Bombyx mori: one gene and its partners. The protein of the gene in region 1 binds, or shares a complex with, the protein of each later gene. Links are inferred from orthologs where the notes say so. Each region holds a gene or a part of one and is shown in the gene's direction. Other genes may lie near its edges.

What was found.
Region 2: small nuclear ribonucleoprotein G (region 1) and serine/arginine repetitive matrix protein 1 share a complex: the UniProt entries of both Homo sapiens proteins name them as parts of the minor spliceosome. The link is inferred for Bombyx mori from reciprocal best matches to the Homo sapiens genes SNRPG and SRRM1.
Region 3: small nuclear ribonucleoprotein G (region 1) and U4/U6 small nuclear ribonucleoprotein Prp31 share a complex: the UniProt entries of both Homo sapiens proteins name them as parts of the U4/U6-U5 tri-snRNP complex. The link is inferred for Bombyx mori from reciprocal best matches to the Homo sapiens genes SNRPG and PRPF31.
Region 4: small nuclear ribonucleoprotein G (region 1) and U4/U6.U5 tri-snRNP-associated protein 1 share a complex: the UniProt entries of both Homo sapiens proteins name them as parts of the U4/U6-U5 tri-snRNP complex. The link is inferred for Bombyx mori from reciprocal best matches to the Homo sapiens genes SNRPG and SART1.
Region 5: small nuclear ribonucleoprotein G (region 1) and U6 snRNA-associated Sm-like protein LSm6 share a complex: the UniProt entries of both Homo sapiens proteins name them as parts of the U4/U6-U5 tri-snRNP complex. The link is inferred for Bombyx mori from reciprocal best matches to the Homo sapiens genes SNRPG and LSM6.
Region 6: small nuclear ribonucleoprotein G (region 1) and small nuclear ribonucleoprotein Sm D3 share a complex: the UniProt entries of both Homo sapiens proteins name them as parts of the U7 snRNP complex. The link is inferred for Bombyx mori from reciprocal best matches to the Homo sapiens genes SNRPG and SNRPD3.
Region 7: small nuclear ribonucleoprotein G (region 1) and armadillo repeat-containing protein 7 share a complex: the UniProt entries of both Homo sapiens proteins name them as parts of the minor spliceosome. The link is inferred for Bombyx mori from reciprocal best matches to the Homo sapiens genes SNRPG and ARMC7.

Annotation. Positions count from the first base shown.
Region 1 is NC_085133.1:8,585,515-8,588,178, reverse strand, and holds the end of small nuclear ribonucleoprotein G, read left to right. Parts: exon of another isoform or gene 1-96; intron 97-101; exon of another isoform or gene 102-105; 5' UTR 106-190; coding exon 191-222; intron 223-406; coding exon 407-554; intron 555-1,893; coding exon 1,894-1,944; 3' UTR 1,945-2,164; downstream 2,165-2,664. UniProt on the Homo sapiens protein: Plays a role in pre-mRNA splicing as a core component of the spliceosomal U1, U2, U4 and U5 small nuclear ribonucleoproteins (snRNPs), the building blocks of the spliceosome.
Region 2 is NC_085128.1:8,265,078-8,268,452, forward strand, and holds part of serine/arginine repetitive matrix protein 1, read left to right. Parts: intron 1-118; coding exon 119-213; intron 214-1,070; coding exon 1,071-1,173; intron 1,174-1,499; coding exon 1,500-1,631; intron 1,632-3,248; coding exon 3,249-3,323; intron 3,324-3,375. UniProt on the Homo sapiens protein: Part of pre- and post-splicing multiprotein mRNP complexes. As a component of the minor spliceosome, involved in the splicing of U12-type introns in pre-mRNAs. Involved in numerous pre-mRNA processing events.
Region 3 is NC_085116.1:12,759,030-12,763,278, reverse strand, and holds the end of U4/U6 small nuclear ribonucleoprotein Prp31, read left to right. Parts: intron 1-3,632; coding exon 3,633-3,743; 3' UTR 3,744-3,749; downstream 3,750-4,249. UniProt on the Homo sapiens protein: Involved in pre-mRNA splicing as component of the spliceosome. Required for the assembly of the U4/U5/U6 tri-snRNP complex, one of the building blocks of the spliceosome.
Region 4 is NC_085118.1:17,264,693-17,268,979, forward strand, and holds the start of U4/U6.U5 tri-snRNP-associated protein 1, read left to right. Parts: upstream 1-1,487; 5' UTR 1,488-1,814; coding exon 1,815-1,953; intron 1,954-2,181; exon of another isoform or gene 2,182-2,233; intron 2,234-3,614; coding exon 3,615-3,741; intron 3,742-3,965; coding exon 3,966-4,117; intron 4,118-4,287. UniProt on the Homo sapiens protein: Plays a role in mRNA splicing as a component of the U4/U6-U5 tri-snRNP, one of the building blocks of the spliceosome. May also bind to DNA.
Region 5 is NC_085134.1:2,613,541-2,617,605, forward strand, and holds the start of U6 snRNA-associated Sm-like protein LSm6, read left to right. Parts: upstream 1-1,265; 5' UTR 1,266-3,903; coding exon 3,904-3,994; intron 3,995-4,065. Other genes in the region: GATA zinc finger domain-containing protein 1, read left to right, coding at 1-30, 269-455, 953-1,119. UniProt on the Homo sapiens protein: Plays a role in pre-mRNA splicing as component of the U4/U6-U5 tri-snRNP complex that is involved in spliceosome assembly, and as component of the precatalytic spliceosome (spliceosome B complex).
Region 6 is NC_085122.1:328,611-332,650, reverse strand, and holds small nuclear ribonucleoprotein Sm D3, read left to right. Parts: upstream 1-1,240; 5' UTR 1,241-1,428; coding exon 1,429-1,738; intron 1,739-2,849; coding exon 2,850-2,932; 3' UTR 2,933-3,858; downstream 3,859-4,040. UniProt on the Homo sapiens protein: Plays a role in pre-mRNA splicing as a core component of the spliceosomal U1, U2, U4 and U5 small nuclear ribonucleoproteins (snRNPs), the building blocks of the spliceosome.
Region 7 is NC_085121.1:11,321,580-11,325,771, forward strand, and holds the start of armadillo repeat-containing protein 7, read left to right. Parts: upstream 1-1,392; 5' UTR 1,393-1,545; coding exon 1,546-1,654; intron 1,655-2,197; coding exon 2,198-2,368; intron 2,369-3,795; coding exon 3,796-4,046; 3' UTR 4,047-4,192. UniProt on the Homo sapiens protein: As a component of the minor spliceosome, involved in the splicing of U12-type introns in pre-mRNAs.

The DNA of each region.
Region 1 (2,664 bases):
CTCTGTTAAACCAATTAGCTCGGTAACACTGTGTTGTGTCACAACTTCGGATCTCATCCCATATAAAAAAAATATGTATGGGAGATTCCACCCACTGCAAAATTCGATGGGTTGGAAATTCATCTAATATACAAAAATCCACGACAATAACATTAATTCCGTATTATAATATTTTAAAAAGCACATTACAATGTCAAAAGCACATCCACCAGAATTGAAAAAGTAAGTAATATTGGAAGTTTGTTTGTTTCACTCGCAAACAAAGCTGGCGTCCTTGTTATAACCTAAAATTAAAAGAACAGCGTAAATTCTTTAAAATCCCAAATTAGTCCGTAGAAATTCGCATATTTGATGTTTATACACAAAAAAGAATATGTACTTTAAATGGTGCTTTTATATATTTCAGATTCATGGACAAAAAATTGTCAATAAAGCTGAATGCGGGTCGCGCTGTTACCGGTGTGTTGCGCGGTTTTGATCCATTCATGAATTTAGTTCTTGATGAATCAGTCGAGGAGTGTAAAGACGGTCAGCGTAACAATGTTGGGATGGTGGTTAGTATATTTTCAAGAACACTCTAAAGATAGCTTTTGTCCGCGACACCGTCCGCGTGGAATAGTTACTTAGGCATAACGCTAAATTTTACCCCCCACTTCATTTACGTAGAAAGTGAAAGTATTTTTTAAATATAGAATGTTAAGGAGCTGTTTAAATCCCCTATTTTGAAACATTCTTTATTGGTGCTCCACTTGTATTGGTTTTACCGTGATGTTATATAGCCCATAGCCTTCCTCAATAAATAGGCTATCTAACACTGAAAGAATTTTTCAAATCGGACCAGTAGCTCCTGAGATTAATGCGTTCAAACAAACAAACTCTTCAGCTTTATAATATTAATGTAGTATAGATTATAATAGGGCAAGTTTGGTTATCAGAGCCGAAAAAGGTTGCCACTATTGGTGGCGCATTAAAAAAATTTAATACTTTGCATTTTATTTTTTACAGCAGAGAACTTTCACAAACATTTGTTGAATTCTGAAAGAGATTGTCGCTTAGATGTGTGGATGAGCTCACGGCCCACCTGGTGTAGGTGGTTACTGGAGCCCAATGACATCAACAACTTAAATGCCATCACTTAACTTGAAACATGAATTCTAAGTCTCAATTTTATAGTACAACAGGTGTCCTACCCTTCATACTAAAGCGCATAATTGCTTCACGGCAGAAGTAGACTGGGATATTGTATCTACATGTGCTCGCTAAAAAGATACTCTACCACCAGTAATTATGCAAATAATAATTTTTGGGGGTTTGATTTACATTACACAATTCATTCAGGGTGGAGATCATTCATAAATACTCATTAAGTATTGTCACTACAACAATTCTTGATGTTTGAAGTGTATTTAGTATAGATGAGTCGACTATTATCAAAGGCGGCAATGTGACTTTTGGACAATTATTGGTAAATCAGAGAAACGAATTATTGACTTTGTATTCTATTGGCAGTCACAAAACTCTTCTGAACGACATCTTAGATAAATAACAGGTTAAGTATTAACCTTTATTTAATGCAGGTTTTGAACCGTATTCTTTGAAGGAGACGATTATATTCAAATAAATCTGTATTGACATATCAATAACATTTTTTTGTCCAAATGCACAGATTGCCACCTTTGATAATAGACGACTCAGATAGTGTGTTTGATATTTAAAAAATAGTTGTAAGTTACATACAACTATTTTGTTTAGCTGTAAGCATTAGTTTTGCTGTGTCCTTCACATGGTATTTTAGAAATCACTACTATTGCTCAGCAGTAGCTCGTGATTTTTTATGACAAAAAATATTTGACTGTAAAGGAACTGAATAAAACAATTTAATCTTTCTTTCAGGTAATTCGTGGTAACAGTATTATAATGCTGGAATCTTTAGACAGACTTTAGTAGACTTAGAGTGGGCAAGAAATATCACCAATGCTGTAAATGTGCTTCACTTTTCATCAATAAATAAATATAAAACTCGGATCTAAAACTTAGTTTCTACAGCAACAGCAGCAACAGTAAAAGAAAAAAAAAGGAAAACTGATAATTTTATATCTAAACTTCACTATTTAAATTTAATGTGATGTTAGGTTAAGTTAATAAATAATAATGAAACACCTCAGATTTGTGTTTGTTTTGATCTATATATTCTACTAGCGACCCGCCCTCGCTTCGCTTCGGAAACATTAAAACACACATGAAACCAAAAAAAATAAAAAAAGTAGCCTATGTTCATCAGGGACAATGTCGGCTTCTAATGGAAAAAGAATTTTTCAAATCGGTCCAGTAGTTTCGGAGCCTATTCGAAACAAAGAAACAAACAAATCTTTCCTCTTTATAATATTAGTATAGATGAGTCTAGCTCTAGATCATGCAACTACTGCTGTTGGTCATTGTAGTAATGCAATTGGCACAGCTAAGTATCAAACTGAATATACCTTTGAAGAAATAAATTCCTACTCTAGAAGTTCTGGTGGGAAAAGCAGTATTTTGGTATTGTGCAGGTTTTTCAGGTGTTCACTTGTTAAGGCAAGTAAATCGATAGATGAGTCGTCTATTATCAAAGGCGGCAATCTGTACATTTGGACAAAAAATTTTTATTGATATGTCAATACAGATTTA
Region 2 (3,375 bases), on another chromosome or scaffold:
CTACATATTTGTAAAGCATCAGTGTTCAGTTTTTCGGTTTGCTTGTCGACTACTTATCATATAATTTACGCTATTTGTATATGTGTGTGTGCGCAGCTAATTATTTTTTTAATATAAGGTCAACGGACGAGAAAGAGAAAACCAATGATGAGAAACCTGCTGATAAGTCGCGCCGATCATCTAGCGAAAGACGCTCGTCTTCAGCTTCATCCCGTAAGTACATTCATTTGAACCTATTCGTTTATACATTTCTTTGATTGTATTTTACTTAGTAAGCGTAATAATTCAGGAATTATTCAAAATTACTTCAGATGTTCAGAATTCTATTTCAAATTTCAATATATTTTATCTCTTCTACTGGCAATGGTAGCTTCCACATCTCCTATGACATACATTTCTTATACACTTGTTTTTCAGAGATTAATTAATTTTATTTCATTAAATCTGTGTAATAAGTAAAAGCCAAAAACTAAAGCGATTATTTATAACAAATAAAGCGGTTATTCGATGATATAATGGTTATAGCATCAATACCGCTCTTCTCATAATTCCCGACTTAAAAAAAAGTGATACGCTAGGTGACGTCGTGTTTCTGCTGCAAAGCAAAACGGAATGTAAGCGGTCGGAAAATTTAGTGGCAGGGCAGCGCTTGTGTTGTCATAAACTTATTTTCTGTCCGAAGGTGAGGCCTCGGCCGAATGAACTAAACCTGAACTAAACATACCACAGATGTGTACAGGCTCCAATGGCAGCTTAACTTAGCCTTCTGGGTTTTTTTTAATTGGTTTATAATTGGAGATGGATTAATTTAATTTAATTTAAAGGATTGTATTTTTTTTAAACTCAATGCTTAAGATAGGTTATTATTAATTTATTTTAAAACAATGAAGTCAATGATTTTCTTTTTAAATTTAACGAACGCAATCGTGATTTGCGCCTAATGTTGTTAAACTGAAATTAAAAAGGTCAAATTTGATCGATTTTTTTGCGGTAATTAATAAATTTCAGAAAATTTAAATTATTCCATTTGGCTTACAGTAAAATAATGAGTACACTTTTATGATTATTAGGTGGCAGTGTGAAGAAGAGATCGTCACATAAAAAACGACAATACCGTTCGAATCGTGATTCTTCTACAAGTGTTAGCCCTAGGCGCAGCTCCCGAAGAGAAAGGTAACATTATTCACTAATGTAACTAAATCTAATTAAAATCTAACTAAATGTAACACCGTATTTATGTGATGTATTCAATAGCAGCCACTTATGCAAAGGTTTACCAACAGACAACTTATATACATTACACCAAACTAAAATTAAACTAAGCCTGATTATTTAATATAAAATACTTTGATGTTAAGGAATGGACTTGAAAGAAATTATTCTACTATTTGAATAAACATTTTTTTTTTCTATTTACACATGTATTGTCTATCTATGAAAATTTCGTACCTGGGCTTTAAAATCGATTCATAAGTATTGAACTTTAATTTTTTTTGTAGGAGTAAATCTCGCCGTAGGAGCAGCCGACGTAGGTCGTTAGATCGTCGTGAGAGGGAAAGAGAACGGGAGAGAGAAAGAGAACGCGAACGTGAAAGAGAGCGACGACGCCGTGAACGAGAACGGCGTGAGAGGTATAGATTTTTTTATAATTACTAGTGTTTATTTAATTATCTGAAATCTACAATAATTACAACATCTGAAGATTTAGATTTAGAAGAAATATATTTGTATATATATTTTACTTTTGTTACTGAATTTTTGAAAAACAAGAATCTACGTTTTTCCATTTTCTTATTGATAACAAATATCTTAAGAAAAAAAATTACCATATGATGGACAATATATTCTAATATTTAAATAAATGAAACAATGTAAACAGTTTTCAATATTATTATTATTTGTATTTTGTTTATATTTATTTATTTAGTATTTTTTTATAAAATTTCTTATTAATTAATAAGATAACAATCTTTTATGGAGTTCTTGTTGGGTCTTTATTTTATACCCGATGATACTACATTTCGATTAATGCCATAATTGCCACATAGAACCTTTATATCATGACTACTTAGATTTACATACTTTTAGCCCAACTTCATGAAACGTTTTACGAATGGTACAAGCCCATATTAGTCTCCTAATTTCTAGTGAAAACTAGGCAGTGGGCTGTGGAGAAGTTGTTGTTCAATTTTAACGACCCTATTAGTAATCGACGGTCCACACATTTTGTTGCGTTTGTTCCTGCACCTGTGATCTGTTATCAAACAATCGTTCAATAATGTAATACTCAGATTGTGAAAATTTCACGAAACTAGAGATTTCTACTGGTACCTCGCATGCTAAAGCTGCAACTGCACACTTAGTTCTAGTCTAAATTCGTTTATTTTAGGCATTTTACAATTATCATAAGAAATAAATATGAAAGAGAACAACAAAATCAGTCAACTACCAAACCATCCATCACCAAACAAAATAATAGGGTATTATTTATTCTGTTTTTTTTAAGGGATTTTATGACCTAAGACTGATCTAAGACTTTTATGTCTTATTTTAATATATGTTATTTTTATGAAAAATGATAATATGGAGTGTAATGAAATGAATATGATTAATTTGAGACATTAATCAGCTGAGATGAAATAAAATGAGATGATATGGGATGAATTATAATCTCAGTAAAGTGGTGGTCATTTATTGAGATTTTTTCAGTAGACTTTTTGGGAGGATCCCGAGAAGTTACGTCCAGCGGCTTTGTTTCATTTTCCCACATTTTTGCACTTTCAAAGATATTAAACAGTTAATAAACCACTGTTATTACACATTTAAACCTGAAGAAACACTAAATAGACAAAATAGAACAAATCACAAAACTTAACTCCTCGCATATCCGCCAAAAAGTATTTATTATACTGATTAAATACAACCAAAGGTTGCAAATACAGAATATGTTTTGCTGAAAATTCAGGATATATAAACTAATATTAAGTAATATCTGTGAGGATACAATTGCTTTGATTAAATGATGAATTTTCATTTGAAATATTTTCTGTATAGGTAGTTAGTAATTGCTTATTGATTAGGGCAGAATAAATTACATCGTTTTAGTTATAAATGCAGCTGTTTATACTTATTTAAAAATTCAATAGTTTTTACAATAAAAGATTCATTCATAATACATTGTTTTTTTTATGTTTGTGATAAAATTGCACCTAAAGGGTTTTTATATAATGATTTCTAAATTAATGTAGGTCGAGAGAACGTCGACGATCGCTTGAAAGACGCAGACGGTCGCGTTCACGCTCTCGACGACGTTCAAGAGACAGGTATAATTTACTTTGAATATGTTTTCATCACAAGCATTCGCTTTAAAATTGA
Region 3 (4,249 bases), on another chromosome or scaffold:
AAACATAGACAGCGAAACTGAAGGTATTCTAGATATGCTGATGTATTTACATAACATAATAGATGTAGGTACGGCGTTGGCGTTATTGCGAGTGCTATACATTATTACGATTGGCACGCCCTCCTCTCGACCGATGTTAACCGCCACATCTGTTCTTCAAGTCAGTGTCTCTCAAATTTTATTTATTTATTGTATAAATTTAACACTTTTAAAGATATTCATGTATCTACCTACGGGTCGATGTCGTTTACTAGTTTAAAAATTAAACCGATGTCTAGCATCGAAGAACGGAGACACGAGTTATAATTAATTTTATTTGTTCCAGTGTCCATTTGCTCGACATCTCTGATCATCTGTTTAATGTTTATTTTAATAGTATTCAGTTTAGTGTTTATTTTAATAGCCCTTAAATAACATGAATGAATATTAATATGGACGTTTCAATGGCACGGATAACACAGAACCTCCAAATGATCATCGTTATTACTATTACCCAATTACGTTTAAAGTGTTTCAAATAATCTACTCGCATTAAATATTAAAATTAATCGTAAAATCGGATCTTCTTATTCTTTTTTGCCTTTCGCGGTTGAAACGATGGGCCCTTGGGGCCCTGAAGCAAAGAAATTTTTGTCAGAAATCTCCAAACGCTTGAAGGAGGCTACACGTGATGCTAAGGCTAGCTGATATTTTGCACAGAGAGTGAGTCTGGCTGTCCAACAAGGTAACGTAGCCAGTATCTTGGGAACTGTGCCTCCTTCAAGCGCATTGGAAGATTTGTTCTACTGTGTGAGTTAATTTAAAAATTAAAGATAAACATTAGACAATTTTTTTTTTATCATAATTACTATTTATCGTAAAATAACTAACATTCATTTATAGTAGATATTTCTTTTTTCATTCAATTGACATGTTTATTAAGCTAACATAGTTTCTAAGGAAATGTTTAGGAAGCTTCGCCGTAACCGATTCGAATCAGCAAAACATTATGCCCTCTCGTCTCTCTTACAGCGATGCTCTTAAGATATCCTTTTATAGGGTTATTGAAGAGAAAACTTTGAAGTTTGATCTGTAAACTAAACTAAACAATGATTGCTCTTGTACGCATATCTAGATATTTATTATTACCTCGATGAGCAGATAAGCTCTCTCAGCCCACTCGGTATTAAATGGCACAGCTCATAGGCATCAAAATGTCATTACCCCCCTTGACATACTGTCGAAGTATCAATTTTATTGCATAACGGCATTGGCAAAGTACAAACTGAAACGCATGATGTTTTGGTGGTAGGTACCCGTAGAGAGTACACCCTGCCCACTAGTAATTATGCAAATTTTCCTGCGATTCATGTTATCTATACTAATATATAATAAAACTGAACCATGCATCCGATTGACTTGAAACTTGGTATCCATGTAGAAAATACATGTACTTAATGGATAGGCTAATATTTATATGAGTGTTGGACTCCCTAGTGACTCCTCCGTTAGTGATGAGAATCTTTGTGGGGTTGAGAAATAATAACGTTAATTTTAAATGCCCAGCGAAACAGGCGGGTACAGCTAGTGTGATATATAATGAGCATATTTCTTTAAAAAATCCTACCCATCTGCAGGATTTGTGCCCCGGCAAAGTCGCATCTCGTGGCTATTCTTCTTCTAGCTTCTATAACGTCAGAAACTGTTTTATTGATTATAATGATTACATACTGTACACTGTCCATATTGTACAATTATCATAATAAGAAAATGAAGCAACATGATATAGAGGAAAACATTGAATAGATTGTGCTGTAATCAGTGGTAATTGCAGTACTTGTCACAGCTTGTGCCGATATATACGAGTAGTACTATTCATGAGTTTCGTCGTTGATTACGCGTAATCTCAAGCTTTTCTGATTGCATAAAAAATTGGTTGTCTGTAAAGTCGGTTTACGGACGATAGTTTTACGTGATAACGTCATAAAGAAACATTGCATGAATTTTATGAATTTAATTGAACGTTTATAGGTAACTGAATTATTATTATTTTGTATAATACAAAAAGGTATTATTTTCGATTATTTTTATTTTCGTTAAATTAACGCTTGGGCCGATCGTGCGTCTCTATCGCTTGTTCCGCGCTCTCGCTTGCACGCTCAGTCTCAAGCGGAACGTGACACTTTTTCGAGCGTGCAGCCGGTGTTCATCGATTTATAAGATGTTATTATCGTGTCAAAAACGTACAGAAGTATGTTGTATATTTGATTGAGCCTAGTACAAAACAAAACATTAATTGTATAAGTTTTGAAGGCAAAAGTAGACGATTGGTGCGGGTTAATAAGCGATCTGACAAATTTAATATAAAAATAAAATCCGTTTTATGAATTTGTAAACTTTTGTAAATACAAATACACGAATGTTGGTCTCAGAGTTGTGTAGTTGTGTAATTGCTTCTTTTTTTTATACGAACCTATTTTTTAGTTGAAATCGTCAACGAAGTTTATAGTACTTTAGTTTCTTAAACTGTCCATGCCTGATTCGTGTGGATGAACCCTTTGAATGGCGATAAAATCGATGACGTTATAGAAACAAAATATAATAAAAGGATTTAAAAAACCAAACCTCAACAAAATGATATGCACCACGAACAGGCAATTTACCGGACAAACCAAGTCATTACTTACTTACTTTGTACTATATATTCTTGCCCACTGAGTTTCTCACCGGATCTTCTCAGTGGGTCGCGTGTTCCGATCCGGTGGTAGATTCAGCCAAGCACTGCTCTTACTAGGGCCTGTGTTAGCAACACCTCCTGGTTTGAACTCCGAGAGCTCACGTACACGCTAGGGTAACGCTGATTGATATAGCCTCAATGCTATCAGCATAGGTAGGGAGAAAAAATGTAGGCAGTTCTAATATTGGGCAGTCGAATTCTTATTATAACTATATAAATTGATATACCACGAAAGCTAAAGTACATATTATTATGCATATGGTCACTGGTGGTAGGACCTCTTGGGAGTCCGCACGGGTAGGTACCACCACCCCGCCTATTTCCGCCGTGAAGCAGTAATGCGTTTCGGTTCGAAGGGTGGGGTAGCCGTTGTAACTATACTGAGACCTTAGAACTTATATCTCATATATCTATGTCTAGGAATGAGATCTAGCTGTCAAACGTGGTAAGAAGTTTTATATAAACCTGCTTCTTTCTAACGCGAAGCAATCGGGTGTTCCAATTTGCTGGGATAACCATTATTATAAGTAGAATACCGATTAATATATTCCAATTCAGAGCTCCAACTCTTTCTTTTTCGATTTCGTATTTTTAGTGCGGGCAGTGGCATTCTCGCTGTGGATTCTTAAGGGCTTCGGTAACCTAGTGACATAGGTTGGTCGTGAATTTATCGAACATTAACACACATTCCTGACCTATTGATCATGATCGTGTAGTAAAGAAAATCATATTGACATGAATGATTAACTTCCAGTGTTATTTATTGTCTTACGGATAATTCCAATTAGCATTACGTTTTACGTTCATTGCTTTTAAAGACATTTATCTTCAATGTACTTACTTGGTCGCAATTCGACCCGAAAAACAATATTTAAAGTAAAAATGAAATAATCACTATAGGTATAATTGTTCACAGGGTTTGGAAATCGTCAATCCTCAAGCCGCAGAAACTAGGACCAACGAAGGCAATGCCAAGTATTTCTCTAATACATCCGGGTTCTTATCTGTGGGAAAGAAATCTGATTAAATTAAATATTTTGCGTTTTTTTTTTCCACTTTTTTTCCTTCCGCTGAAACTCTCCTGATACGGCGTTTGAAGAACAAAGAAATATATTATTATGTCATAACGCTCGAGAAATACTGTGGAGGGGAATTCATTTTAAAGTTCAGTTCATATCGTGCCGTGCTACATATCATTGGAAACGCTCTGTGGATGAACGCTGCATTGCCAACTAGAATGGATGAATTCTGCTCCGGTAGCTGGAATTACCGTGATAAAAAGGAGATGATGAGATCATCTCGAATAAGTCTTCAGAGCCATCCTCAGAGAACATAATATTATTATGCTACAAAATACAGAGGTTTTAAGACACTAAGTCACGTTCTACACATTTCTATGCATAAAATTTTCGGATTTTGTTAATTTACACCATTTCAAGGTTTACATGCAAGAATGTTCTTTATAATAATAAAATAAATATGAACATTGTTCAAAAAGCCGAATTTAATAGCATTCGCAATTTCCACGATTTA
Region 4 (4,287 bases), on another chromosome or scaffold:
CTATTAATGTGCACTGTGAGCTGGACATAATGGTGGAGAAGCCCAAGTAGAAGTCGTCGTGGCCTAACGGATAAGACGTCCGATGCATTTGTGTTGAGCGATGCACCGGTGTTCGAATCTCAGGCGGGTACCAATTTTTCTAATGAAATACGTACTCAACAAATGTTCACGATTAACTTCCACGGTGAAGGAATAACATCGTGTAATAAAAAATGAAACTATAATTTGCGTAATTACTGGTGGTAGGACCTCTTGTGAGTCCGTGCGGGTGGGTACCACCACTCTGCCTATTTCTGCCGTGAAGCAGTAATGCGTTTCGGTTTGAAGGGTAGGGGAACTTATTCTCAAGGTTGGTGGCGCATTTACGTTGTGGATGTCTATGGGCTCCAGTAACCACTTAACACCAGGTGGGTTGTGAGCTCGTCCACACATCTAAGCAATAATAAAAAAAAGAAGCTCGCAAATCCCCGGCCAGACTCTGTCAATCGCACGTCCCCGCTGCTCCTCCACGACAACGCTCGACCTCATACGACACAACCGATGGTCTCGAAGCCACAAAGCTGTCTAAAATAGGGTATTGTATTAGGAAAAAGGACTTGTAATCTTCTATATACTAAACCTTCTTAAGTAAACAGGTACCTAATGCTTATAAAAACTGAATTGAGAGATACCTGTATCTCACTAACATTTTCAAGACAAGCTTTCCTAAATACAAGTTCCGAATAATAGCAACAGGACCGTCGGCCTACTGAGCAATTTCATCCGCCACCGCCACATTTACCACCGCCCTGCCCATTTCTGCTGTGAAGCAGATAAGCGTTTCTCATCGTTCATTCATTATACTGTGAACACTGGGAATTAGAACTCATTTTTTACATGGTTCATGTCTATCGGCTCCAGTAACAACTTAATGTAATTAACTTAATTTGGTCGGTAGCTTCACAGGTTTTAAACTCCGAGAAGGCTTAATTCAAGCCTTATACTAAAAATAATTGGAAAAACTAAATTAATGCTACCACAAATTCGGTACCTATTGTATCTATCTGTTTTTGAAATGTTTAGTTTATTACAAATATCTGGTTATTGGCGGGAGCGCGAGGAGTGAAGTTATGTGATTTGTTTAATTTTGTCTATTTAGTGTTTCTTCAGGTTTAAATGCGTAATAACGGTGGTTTATTTACTGTTTAGTATTTGTGAAAATGCACAAATGTAAGAAAATAAAACAAAGCCGCTGGACGTAACTTCTCGGGATCCTCCAAAAAGTCTACTGAAAAAGTCTTAGTAAATGACCACCATTTCACTGAGATTATATTTCATCCCATATCATCTCATCTTATCTCATTTCATTTCATGCCATGTTTCATATTAATCAACTTCATTTCATTTCACTTCTATCATTTTTCTTATAAAACATTAAATAAATTTATAAAAGATCAGGCGGTATGGTATGACATCTTTGCCTTTCCAGTTGAAAAAGTAAAACTACTACTATATATCTGTCAATGCTGTCACTGGCATTTCTTGTTCCAGGTCTGTTTTTTGTTCCCTATGAAACGTGTTTAACTGCATAATAGAAATAGCTTTATAAGTTTGTTCATTTGTAAGACACGAATAGAAATAGGACCACAAATATATCCAGACTATATTTTGCAAAATAAAATGGCGCACTATTTCACTACGTAGTATCTTTAATAATAATTGTCTGTGATTATTGAAACAAACAGAACACTTGTCGAGAATACGATTTTTTAATATTTTATAGTTTTTATTTTGTACCCATAATTTTGTTATAAGAGACTATTTAAGAAACAAGAATGGGTTCAAAAAAGCATAAGAAAGAAGCAAAGAAAAAGAAGCATAAGAGTAGGTCCCGTTCGCCACTCGAAGGTGAAGAACGTGAACGAAAAAGGCATAGGAAACATAAAGATCGCAAGCGAGAGCGCTCCCCTGACGGTCAGTAACAACACTTTCGATAAAGATAACAAACGCCAGCCTTTGATGATGATCTTATGTGCCAAAAAACCACGTTTCAAAACTATGAAATACGGATTCACATCCTAACTTGTATATCCAAATAAAACCGTTTGTTTGATTTAAATAATGAATTGCATAGGTCATCAACAGAACTGGCTGTTATTAATTATGACAAGATAATGGCACACTGTCTGCTCGTTATTTCAGACCCGGTGGCACTGGAGCTCAGCCACCGCGTCCCTCGCTCCGTCATTAAGAGGTAGGTATTTAATAAAACGATGGAAGGTTCCTGATTTGAGTAAAGTTGTTTTTGCTGCAGAAAATAATACAGGAAACAAAATGAACTACAATGTACTAACAATTTATCACCAATAATTATGTTGTAAAGTACCAATATCATACTTCTACGTATAATTATTTATTCTATAGTGCCATAAATCACAAAATGTGTATCAATTCATTCTAAATGAAACTTCCTCTAGAAACAAACAATAAAAGAGCCTGTAAAATAAGACAAACATTTATCGGAAATCTTTGAAAACAATGACAACCACCAGCACATACTTAATATTAACAATAACAACAATTTAAAAAAAAAACCTAGTCTAGCTTTGAAGTATGCTTTTATCACAGCACAGCTAAGATTCAACATCATGTCTTATGTCGCAGTTACACTGTGGCACCTGCGGACTGTAGTAAATCATATCAAATCAGCTAAACTTGTCTGTCCAAATACAACATTACAACTATCAACTGAAATGTAGGAAAATGGCCATTGTACTTTACTACTAATTAAGTTTTGCAAGGACTATTCTTTAAAACAAAAATAAATGATGAACCCAGTGAATGAACATGGTGCCACTAAAAAAACCATTAAAATGTTATATTTTTATTCTCTGTAAGTAGTGTATTTAATTAAAGATTGTGTGACCTGTGAAATCCACATTCTCTTTTACACTGAGTCTGGTTGCAGGCTTTCTTCTTGGTTTGTGGGTTGTTGAAATAGAAATTCACTAAAACAACAAGTAATTATTTTTAGCTAGGAATTGTCCTTATTGTCCTGCAGTATTCATTGGAATAGAATTTTTGATTCTGTTCTGTGCTTAGTACTTCATACTGCAGTTTTATTGTTTATTTTTACTGTCGCTATATCTATGTTTGTTTCTTTTTTCTATTTGTTATGACCAACTCAAATTCACATCCTCTTTACTTCTTAATCAAAAGGTTGCATTAATTTATAAAGGCAAACCAGCCAGCCTACACATCACTAATGTGTTTAAAATCAGCTGAACATTGATTACAGCTACAACATTAGAAGTAAAGTTTTACTTCAACACAGTAGAATTAATACAATATAGTATACACATAGTATAGTATAGTCTACAGATAGTATATATATATATATATATATATTATACACAAAACATAGATAAATAAATAAAAAACATACATACATACATAGATACAAAACAATATAATTAACAGACTTTTATCTGTTTGTATACACTTATATCTGCCACCACGAAATGATTTTTACGCTGAAATAATACAAAACGAATGTTGTTACATTATAATCTGTCCACAATAAGAAATTGAGATTTATAAATTAGGATTAAACACCAGATATCTGTTTGTTACAGTTCAAGAAGTGCCTGTCGACTCGCATCAGCTGAAGGATGACGAGACTAACCATTCTCGAGGAGACAGTGAAGATCGGGATCGCCGCATGCGTGCTTTGCATCGGCCAGAGAAAAATGAATCTGAAGGGTAATAAACTAAACTGAACATTGACTGAAGTGACTACTTCTTGAACTCTTGTACTTATTTATGACCTTGCAATGATTAGTAACATCTTCTTTTCTGTATCTATCTAATCATACACAATTTGATGGGTAACATAAGTATTATTATAATTATAATTCCACTGGGTAGGTTTGTTAGCTTATCTATCTTGAAATTACATTACGAACTATTTTTATTACTTTTTATAGGGACAAGAGTGTTGAGTATGAACGTGAGAAAACCAAGTCTCCAGTACAAACACAGAGTGGTGGAGCACAAGAGAGCTTGTCCATTGAAGAGACCAATCGTCTACGAGCTAAACTTGGACTTAAACCACTTGAAGTCAATGAGAAACCTGCTGGTTTGTAATGTAGTTTTATCGCTTTTGTAATGTTTTTTTTTTATTGTGTTAATATATTGTATTTTATTTAATGTACAGACTATATCACGCATAACGAATTTGATGTGTTATCTTTGCCAACAATAAATAAACAAAATAAAATTCAAATTTTTTGCCATTTTATATGTTTT
Region 5 (4,065 bases), on another chromosome or scaffold:
GTTGTTACAAGTGATTCAGTATTTTATCAGGTCTGTTCAATTATTTAATCCAATTAAAATCTGTAGTTAGATATACAACAGCTGTAGAAATATACCTTTTTTTTTATTTTTCAATAATCTTGAGGCTATATCGCATACTAATTATAGTTTAAAAACTGATTAGAGATTAATTTAATTTAAAAAACCCTAACTTATTATTCACAGTAAACATGAAAACTTGAAAAATTACCTCGGTTCTGCTTTGAATAGTCTGTGGTAATTTTTTCAGGGTATGTACATGCAAGTTGGTGATATTGTTTCGATGACTGACATTGATGGTGGCACATACTATGCCCAAATTAGAGGCTTCCTAACTGATGAGTACTGTGAGAAGAGTGCAGCTGTTACTTGGTTATTACCTACAAAAGCGAGCCCACCTCCAGAGAAATGTTTTGATCCTGCTACATATATCATTGGTATGAGCTTTTAATAATATTTTAATTAGAAATACAGATATTTGCAACAGGCAGAAGTAGGTGATTAAAGTATTTATTCAATATCTAAGGCATTTTGGGTGATTTTTTTCATTTTGTAAATTTAGTGCTTTAGATTTTCCACTTGTAATAATAGTGACTCATTAAATGTGTATTCGATCAAAGCTCGTGAATAGCAGAAAACGAAATAAGTCGCTTGACACGGCATTTCTAAAAAGCCTGCATTGTTTGATTTCACTTCCTCTCGTCTTGTTTCAATCTATATCATGTAATTTCATCCCAATATAATGAATATAATGAAATAAACCAACTTAATTAAATTCAGCTTAATTTTTTATTTTTATTTTGTAAATATGATTTTTACTAACTCAATACTGGCAACAATAGCATCACGAAAACTCAACTGCCATATAGCAAAAAAAAGAATAGTGTATATAAAAAATGTGACAGTTAAGGTTAATATTGCTGTAAATTTTCAGGCCCTGAAGAAGAGCTGCCTCGGAAACTGGAATACATGGAATTTGTGATGCATGCTCCATCTGATTACTACAAAGCGAGCAACAGTCCATACCCACTGACTGATAATGAACTGAATAATTATACTGGTTTTGTATGGACTTCGATGGAAGCTAAAGAGAGAACGTAGACTTTTATATTTAAGCAAAGTGAACATTTTGTTACAAAAAAATACTGTTTATGTTTAGTTTTATTACCCCATATACCCCGTAGTTAACATTTATTTAAATTTAGAGCACAATTTGAATTTCGATATCATTCACAGTTATAATTTTTTTTTTTTTTTTCCCTACCTAAGCTGATAGCCCTAGCGGCTGTCAGCGTAACCCTAACTTTAGTAGGTGAGCTCACGGGGCTCAAACCTGACGATGTTGCTAACACGAACCCTAGCAAGAGCCGTGCTTCGCAGAATCTACCACCGGATCGGAAACGCGACCCACTGAGAAGATCCGGCGAGAAACTCAGTGGGCTGTGTCTGAGAGTTAATTTACTCGTCGAGCCCTTCGTCGCAAGCGACGGGTTCGACGAGAACGGTGACCGGTGCTTTAAGTACCTAAAAGCACCGTTAGTGGATCAGGAGGATCCGAGATGACGTGTTTTGGGCGACGTCGACTGCTTTCCATTCTGTCCGCAGGATCGGGAATGTAGTTACCAGCGGCCACGATGAGAGGGTTCTCGTGTCGTGCCGCTTTATCGAAGTGGACAGTTATCAATCATTCAATAACACACATCATTCACTTTAATCATTCAAACCAACCAACATTTTTTTTCCTCCAGAAAATTTGGTATAAGTATTCATAGTAGTAAGTAGTAACTATGCTGTTTCCCTAGATCACTGATATTTTTTTGCCTATCTTTCAATGCCCTTGAAGAAGTGGAGCGTATGGAAGCCCAATTATTTTCAGTTAACCTCTTGGGTATTGCATTTTTACCCTACCAAGAAGTTGTTCAAACTTTGGAAAAAGGATAATAGTAAGTCTGTTGGCGCAACAACTTGTGTGTATGGTGGATGCAAAAACTTCCATCCATACCTCTTGTAGCTTAAAGACGGTCGATTGTACCATATGAGGTTGAGCGTTGTCATATAGGAGAAGTGTGGACAAGCGATTAAGAAGGGCAGGCTGGAGATACAAAAGCTTCTTCATCATTGTATCCTGTTCCTCACCATACACATCTGTAGTAATGATGCTATTTGGTAGGAAGCTGTGATGAATTATACCAGAACAAAGCCACTAAACAGTGAACATGACATATTTAGAGATAGATTTTCATTTGAGGCATTGCCTTTGTACTGAACCTCTAGTCCATGTAATGTCCGAGTGCAATAATTATTCTAGCGCCCTCTAGTAAGCGTGCAATCAAGTTGGACTAGGAACAAATCTAACTGCACCAGGAGGACGGGACGGCGCGTCGGCGGCTGCGGACTGCGATGCGGTCCGCATTTTCGTCGTCGCTGTCGTCGCCGAACATACTGTTGAAGAGCAACCCGGTCGGCGGTGTATCGCGTTCCGACCCGGCAGGCTGGTTCTGGCCCAGCGGGGTATCCCGGAACACCAGCGGCACCACCCGGGCGGCCTGGTAGGGCCGCCGTACCGCGGAGACCGACGTCGTTGGTCGTCGACTATCGCCTCGACGACCCGTCGGTCGGGCGTCCTCGGGGTGGCGCCGCGTGTCTGGTTGTAGTGTTGACCGCGGGAACCCCCCTACACTGAACGGGTTCTGACCCCGGACGGAGATCGGACGTCGGGTGTAAGAGTGCAGGGGAGTCGTTTGGTGGGTGGGCCCTAAAATCCTTGGGCCCGCGATCTGCTCTCAACACCTGCAGATCGCTGAGTCTCACATACCCCGCGCGCCCCCTAGGCGCGGGGACCTCGTAGGAGGTTCGGCCCCCGGCCCGAAAAAAAAAAAAAAAAAAAGGAACAAATCTAACTGATTCATTAAGAATGCAGAGGCCGGTGCACCCTAAAACCGCAGCGCGCATCTGCAACTCACACACACCTCGCACCATAGGTAAAGTCGCCTCTAGTTCTGAATCAGGGTGTGTTTGCAACCCGCTTGATGACCGCTTATGATTATAAACAATAATCCATTTTTCATCGCAAATGACCAGCTTGATGTGACCGCTTATGATTATAAACAACATAATTCATCGTAGATGACAATATGCTTCAAGATACCCTAATGGGGTGACGATCGTTCAGTTCGTGTGGGGGTGCCACATATCAAGTTTTGCCCACCAACTTGACCCAAATGAACTAATATTCTTCTGATCCTAACGTTGAAAGCTGCAAAATGTTTTAAATCAAAACTTCTGTGCTGAACCGTACAGGCCAATCGTGCGTTCTTTTGTAGTGTTCTTTCCGTACATACACATTATTTCTTAAATACCAAACATAATATGAGCCGTTTTGCGGCATTGCCACGGCGACGGAACTCTCCATATTCACTCTTTTCTATCGTGTACATATTGATGTAAGATACATTATATTACAAATGTAGTGAAAACAAAACACTAATCAACAAACAAATAACTGGATTTGAAAATAGAATGTCAAACTTCTCGGCATCCTCCAAAAAGTCCACTGAAAAAGTCTCAGTAAATGACCACCATTTTACTGAGATTATTTTTCATCTCATAACATCTCATTTCAATTCATTACATTTCATTTCATGCCATGTTTCATAGTAATCAACTTCATTTCATTTCATAATATTAATACAATTTTTCATTTTAAAAAATTCATTAAAATTAAAATAAGACGACCTAAAGGTATTAGATACCAAGTCATAAAAACCTTTAAAAAAAGATCAAAAGTAATCAAAACACCCGCTTTGACCAATTTGAAAATTTTTAAGTTTCATTTAATGTATTTCGTGTCTTCAATTTCATCAGAATAATAAATAAACACAAAAAATGAGTCGTAAGGAAGCTTTGTCCTCGTTTATACAGCAGATTCACGGTCGCCCAGTTGTCGTTAAATTAAACAGCGGCGTTGACTATAGAGGTTTGTTTTCCTTTCAAATTTTATTTATTAAGTTAGTAATAACAATCACTTCGTCTTTTAAGAACCACATA
Region 6 (4,040 bases), on another chromosome or scaffold:
CCCGTGAAGGTTGGGACAGTAGTTCTTATTCATCAAGATGACATTCCACCGCTCCGCTGGCCACTTGGAGTTATACAAGAGGTGTATCCAGGTGCCGATAACATTATACGCGTTGCTTTGGTAAAAACGAAATCTGGATTTCTTAAACGTCCAGTTGTAAAATTATATCCGCTACCGCTAGAATAAATTAGAGTACCGCATGTCATCAACCGCTTCAACTCTACTCGTAAACATTCATGATGGCTTATTATTAATTAAAATTTGTTTCTTTTCAAATAACTTCCCGCTATTTAAGCTTTATGCTTCCTATCTTAGTATCTTTATATATTTGTTGAAAGTCCTGCGAACTTTCAAGGCGGGCAGGATGGTCACGCGGATTTAGTAATGGGATGCTAATGAATTATTGGGATGGCGCCACCTTTGGAGTTTGTCAGTAACTAATTACCGCGACTACCCAAAGCGTGGTTCTACCCGATCGATCACGCTTTACCGCTAGCTGCCTAGATGGCGGCACTTGTATATTGTGTGGTGCTTGAGCTTACGAAAAGCTACGTGAGCTTCGTCACCCCCTCCCGCCGCCCGCGTGCTTCCATCGCCGACGCCCGCACGACAGTCACTGGCAAGATCTACAGGTGAGTGCAAGTTCTTTTAATTTATTGCCATTTTATTGCTGCTTCGTGTAATCATTCGCCCGCCCGCTCGCTTATGTGTATTTAATTTATATCTTTAGTTTGATTACTAGCTTTTGTTTACCGCTATATAGTTTTACCGCTCCGCTAATTATAAGTGACAAACATTTGTCACATACCGCTTAGGACGGCTATTTACACGCCTTTCTACAACCCCGCTTTATATGCTCCCGCCGCAGGAGGGCTATTTACACGCCCCCTTGCTACCCCAAGCATAAAGCCTAAGCACCTAGCTTTTTTTACAAATGAAACTAGGTCTATTAGGCTATGTACAGTGAAATGTAATTTATTTAGAAAAATGGTTGGAATTAACTAAGATTACATTTAACTTTTTGCAAAATCTCAATAGTTATACCCTGCGATGCTCTTGCATTTTCAAACCGAAAGGTAGTACTACTTTACGGCAGGAATAGGTAGGGTAGTGTTGTCTGCCTCTGTGGACTCGCAGACATCCTACCATTCCTACCACCAGTAAAGTTGATTTTCACAATGCTAAGGGAATTAAAAATCATAATGGATTTTTGGTAATATGGGTTATGTTGTCTTTGTCTGTCAATGAATGAATAAAAATGTCTATTGTCTATGCACGGAACTCGCCGCCATATTACATTAGATGTCTATGGATTTGAAGCGTCTAATTTTTTTGAAATATTCTTTCCCATTTTTATCGTAAATAATCTAAGAAATAATACTGAATTATTGTCCTTTATCGTACGTTTTTCTTAACTAAAACGTAAACATGTCTATCGGTGTGCCTATTAAAGTACTTCACGAGGCGGAAGGTCATGTAGTGACTTGTGAAACAAATACCGGTGAAGTTTATAGAGGGAAATTAATTGAAGCTGAGGATAATATGAATTGCCAAATGACTCTCGTAACAGTCACATACAGAGATGGCCGAGTTGCACAGCTCGAGAATGTGTACATCCGTGGTTCCAAGATCAGATTTTTAATATTACCGGACATGTTGAAGAACGCGCCAATGTTCAAAAGACAAGGGAATAAACCTACTGCAGGACGAGGGAAGAGTGCGATACTGCGAGCCCAAGGTATTGAACAATATAAAAATAGTGTGTATGTGATTTGTTTATCGAGCTAGGTATCCTAAATGTTCTCTCGCATCACATACGTAGTGATTGTGTTCATTATCAACAAGACAACATACGAGTGTTAATATATGAATGAGTGCTGTCTGACTTGCAGTCTAATTACATCTAGCACTGAAATTGTGAATATGCATTGTTCTTAATTTCGTTTAATTCAAAGACTTAAAAAAGAATAAACATCTTTAGCTTAGAACAACCCATTTCTTTAGGCTTGTTATAAATTAGACTTGAGTGAAGTCTATTTAACAATTACTGCACTATATAACCAAATTATTAAACGAAAATTTCTAAGTAGAAAACGTATGCAAGTATGAAAGATAAGCACATTTAATTACAATCAATAAATAGCCTTCATTAAAATTAGTACAAATGCATTGAATACATAGTGATCAATTGGGTCAAATGAGCAAAAAATAGGTAGTTTGAAGCTTTGATTTTTTAAATGTCTTGTTTGTTTATATCCTGTATAGATATTTTTTGTCACAGTTTTTTAATAGTAATTGAGAATATTTTACAATTTTTCATTCTTGAGTGCTTATATAGACATACAATGTCAAATTTGCAATTTTAAGTTTTGTAATATCAAATCAGTATTTTGTTCCAATGTTAATTGTTTCTAATCATTCAACTATATGTTATTGACAATTTTACTTTGGGTGGTTAAAGAAAATATGTGAATGATGAGACCATGTCAAGTACCTAATGCACACAATCTCACACATCTAAAGTAAAACCTATTTTACATAATGTTATGCAAACTAATAACTGTATCTATTACATTTGTGAAAACCCATTCTTGTGTATTTAAATAATTACGGCAAATTTCTGTTGCTAAACAGGAATGTGAATTGATTTGACGGGCTGGACAGTAACTACAATACATTTGAGCGATCAAATATATGTATCTCTTCATACTCATCTCAAGTATCATGCCAACCAGCATCCTTATTTTGATGTTTGTGGGCCACAGTAAATCATTAATCAAGTGGGTTGTAAGCTTACTCACACATCTAGAGGAATCAAGAAGTAAAATACAAATCTTTGAAATTTTCAGCTGCTGGTCGAGGACGAGCAGGTGGAAGAGGTGGGGGCCACCGTGGAGGCTGGCAAGGTGGGTCAGGACCATCTCGACGCTAGCGTTAAGATATTTTTTAGATAGCTTAAGTTGTACTTGTCTTATATTTCAATTGTCAAGGAATTATTTCATTATCATTCTTATATATTGATATATCTAAGTGAGAAAAATACAAATTTTGGAAATAGAACAACTGTTTGTTCAAAGATTATTATTATGTTCTCAAATGTAACAATAAGGTCCTGTTCCAGATTTTCTGTTTTTTTATTTTGGTCACCCTTCAATCTGCTTTACACATCTTAGGTCTCATGGACCATTTGATCAAATAGACACTACACACTGATGCTACCCTATGGTGACTTATTGTGACTCCCAATCAATACAATGTTTAATCTCTATGTTCTATCCTTATATCAGTCCCAATAATCTAGAAATCTTGTCCATATGATGGGTAATAGTTCAATCTTGTTTTGGCTTGAGGAAATATCTATGTGTGGTTTATGCGGGGGTGACTATTGTAATTAAATATAAAAAGTTATTATAAACTGCCTTGTACAAACCAAACTTAACCAATGGCCGAGTTTTGACAATGTTTTATCCATATAATTTTGAATTTTTTTGCACTGTAACTGGAGCCTATAGACTTTATGAAGGCCTGCACCTACCATGAGGTTTGAGATCAAAGTCCCAGTTGTACTGTTTGGGATAAATGCTGTCTTAATGGGCAAATTGGAATGCTTCGCAGCATAAAACCTGCAACAATCATGCATGTTTGTTAAATGTGTGTAACTCGGCATCTTATCCTTTAGGACACGACAACCTCTTATGCAAAATATTTTTAATTTGAATGTTTTATGTTCGAATTTAGATTAGTTACAAACAGTGTAACAAGTTTACTGAGACTGTCAGCAGATATGTGATAGGATGTGTCGTTGTGGGTGTGAATATCAAAAGATTGAAAACAAATAAAAAACAATTTGGATAATAACTAGTGTTTTTATTTATGAGACACGCAGTGTCAACTAACTATAATTATTATTAGTCAAATTCCACTGGCCACTACTGCTTCTGAGATAGTATAATAATAGAAGTCATGACGGCTTCACTGTACAGACGCACAGGACAGTGGTGTCTAACCATACAAGCTCACACTGCACATCAGCACCTCAG
Region 7 (4,192 bases), on another chromosome or scaffold:
AATTGGGATATTTGTAAGGGTTGTCAACTCGCAGTACTGCGATATATAGGTAGGTGCCATATAATTATTTATATGGACCGAAATGATGAATACAATCCATAATTTAAGCACAATACACAACATAGTGTAAATTAAGCTGGTTTCTATTCTGAAGCGATGTGACGTGAATGATAATCAACAATACAATGATCAAAAAAAGTATGTGCATGTTATATTTTAGAAAATTATTATTTAATTTCCTTAAAAATCACAACTCTGAAACAAAATCATAAAATAGAATAAAAAATAGAAAACAAAAGGACTGGAAATGCAATAATACAATTTTATTTAATCAACATTTTCAAAATAATCTTTGAGCAAGAGTAAGATATCAGGTGAATAAGATAAAAAACCGGCTTTATCTGATTACTGCCAATAATAACAAAAATAAAAGAAATTCTTTCTAAGCGAAATAACTAAACTCAATTAATTCACTCACTCATAATTGGATATCTCGGATTTTTAATTAATGTTACATTTAAAATCTGAGGCCTGTTTTTATTTGTGTGTGCGTTGTGAATGTTAACAAAATCATGATTCGACGCGTGAATAGATTATGAAATAACAAAAGTTTTGATTCGTTTGAGTTCTTTTAACTTTTTTTTTTTTTTATTGCTATAAAGAACATACGACCGGGCAGATGTTACAAGGTAAATGTCGCGAAAAAAAAGTAATTATATATATACTTTTCTTTTACCTATAATACTTACATAAACTAACTGATAAACATATTAACCTTCTTTACATCACGCAATTAAGTGATAGTATAGGCTAAAAAATCTATTATAAGATATCAGTGACAACCCTAACAAGCCATCCCTATTTTGTCTTTTGGCGTTCCAATTTTGTGTTTTCTCGTCCCTAATTTTTCCAGTCTCGTTCCAAATTACCCTACAAACGTCCCAATTTTCCCCAAAAAGGAAAGAAAAAATATACATTTTTTATTTTGTCGAAATATTGTATTTAAAATAAGAATATTGCAACTTACCGTTTGTTGTGGTATTTCCAGGTGTATTAAAAACTTATATAAACTGTGATCTTATTGAAAAAACAACGATAATATTACTTTTTTTAAAAGTTCTTTAAGCTGTTTTAAAACGCACTTTTCAACCACTATTTTCAATTTAATTTGACGAATTTTTGGGACCAACTTAACTCATATTTAGTACTTCTATAGTTAACTTGGTTTTTCTTCTATACATTGACAAATATTAACATAAACAAAATTAGGTAGATTCCGTGCTACAGGTACTTTGAGAATCTTCCGCAGGTTTGTCCCAATTTACCCCAGGATCCCAATTTACCCCATGTCATGGTAGATAAAATGTTCCCTTCCGCATGTCATTGTGCCACCTGTCAAATGTCAAAAACAACAGAGAAAACTGTCATGGCGTGTCAATTGAATTATTGAATCAAAGGAAAAATAAGGAATGTGTATTTACTTTAATGAAAGTGGTCCAGTCAAAGTAGGATTTTTTCTATAGCCTTTTAAGTTACTATAATTTAATGTTCAGTTCAAGAGCACACTTACAAAAACGTACCCCAAAAGATGGTACTGATCGCGAGGCATATTTGTCATTATTAGTCGACGAATATTTACACTCAAGTTCCTATGGTAATAAAATATACATGCAATATCTATTTAATTAATTTTAATGCGATTTACGTATGAACTTTCACAATTGCCATTAAAGTTTTTACTTTTAAAAATCTTAGATAGTTAGAAAACTATTGCATAAACAAGGGCGACCTTAATGCTAAAGAGTACTCACAGTACAGCTAGCCCTATTGCGTTTGGATAATGGTATTTTTCGTTTTAATAAAATTAAATTGTGTATGTGACTTATGGGATATGATTATAGTGATTTTAATATTTATATTTTATATTTATATTTATTGTATCATACATTAGTTTTTTTTCTTCATTATTAAGTAATGTGCATGAAGGTTTGCTCTGTTTCTGAATAATTAATAACATACCTGTTGGATCTTTTTCACAATTTCTCTAGATAAAAAAGGTTGTTTAGAAGAGATGATTGTGTGACACAATGATGATTGTGTTTTGGTGTGTAGTAAAGTAATCTATCTCTCTCTATCTCTGTCTCTCCACGGCTCTCTCCATGGCACTGCAATTTGTTAATGTTATTTTTCCTTACAGAAGCAAAGTTGCAAGTTTTAGCCAATTTGGCAAATTTTGCATATGATCCTGTGAACTACTCATACATTAGAGACGTTGGAGTACTAGATATATTCTTGTATGTGCTGAAGAATGAAACTATTGGTAGATTAATAAGGTATGCCATTGCGGGTGTCTGCAATTTGTGTTTAGGTAAGCTGTTGATAACAATAGATGAATAGTTTTCTCAAATTATTATAAGTTCAATTAAACTGTCAATTTTTTTATGAAAACTCTTATAAGAAAGAACCTGTTCAATAAAAGTATTCTTTATATTATTATGTACAATAATTTATTTAAGATTATCAAAGTAGCTCTATTTAAATTTAATTAAATACTTGAACTATTTGAATATTTGTGAGTGTTGATAAGATGTGATTTAGTGCATTTTAAAGTAAATTAAAATTGAAAGTGCCCAATAATATGTAGTGAGCTTGCACCGTTTTCTTGTAAATGTTTTAAGTGCAATGCTGCTTATACCAAATAGCCATTTTCCCCTCAATATTGTGTAACTGTCCCTACATACCATTAAATTGGAACTCTCTTTATTATATTGGAAAGTCTTAAGCCCATTAGACTGAAATGGTTTATTAATGTTATATCTGACAGTAGTACCAACACATGCTGCCACCACACTACTGACAGTATTCAAGATAATAATTAGAAGAGTAAGGAAAGTAGTAATTAAAAAGTAAAAAAAATTTGATTCTGATTCTCAATAATATTTTCATTAAGAAAGAATAAAATAGCAAATGCATTAATAAAATAGCAATAGACCCGACTACCGACTAAACCCCATCGAGCTCCACTACTCCGACTCCACGAAACCTACGGTACCGCACAATGCGCGCCGCAGGCTCGCCGTCGCCGGTACCCGTCCTGACAATAGGACGGGATCCAATCCCCGGGAAGATCCCGCAGGAATAGACTAGCAATAGAATAGCAATAGACCCGAAATAAATTATTGCTAAAAAAGAAATTAGTAATACTAAAGATTTATCAGTCATTTTGAATCAAACATTTTGAAGTCGTTGTGGTCTAAAGGATACTCCGTTTGGTGCATGCGTATCTTGCGATGCATTGGTGTTCGAATCCGGCGGGTATCTGGCGGGTATCTGGCGGGTACCAAATTTTCTAATGAAATACGTACTTAACAAATGTTGACGATTGACTTCCACAGTGAAGAAATAACATCGCTTAATAAAAATGAAACCCACAAAATTATAATTTGCGTAATTACTGGTACCTATTGTGAGTCCGCACGGGTAGGTACTACCACCTTGCCTATTTCAGCCGTGAAGCAGTAATGCGTTTCGGTTTGAAGGGTGAGGCAGCCATTGTAACTATACTGAGACCTTAGAACTCATTACAAGGTGGGTGGTGGCATTTACGTTGTAGATGTCTATGAGCTCCGGCAACCACTTAACTTCAGGTGGGCTGTGAGCTCGTCCACCCATCTAAGCAATGTAAAATCCCAAATTTAGAAAAACGCTAGAATCATCTTTAAAAATTTGACACTATATAAAATCATATTGCTATTTCACATTTCACATGTTTATGTAAGAATTATCACTTTTCAGATCCACTGAATGCAGACTATATTTTAACTCACTTGGGATTAAAACCTTTGTTTCGATTATTGAAGTCAAGTGATACAGACACTGTAGCTGATACAATAACGACATTGATATATATGTACAATGAGAAAACAAAAACTGAAATAACTGATCAAGACGTTATAAATATGATGTCAAATTTGAAAACTACGCAGGATTTGAGGATCGTCAATTTAGCTACAGTTTTTCTACAAAATGTGTGTAAGACCACCTGAATAGTTACATAAACGAACTTCATAATGAACAAGATGCTCTCGAATAGATTCCCCTATATTATTGTGAACAATAAAAATTATCAAAAAATATGCAAGATTCATACCACATCCTTCAGCAACACAGCTTTTAAAGCTGGTGATAAAAT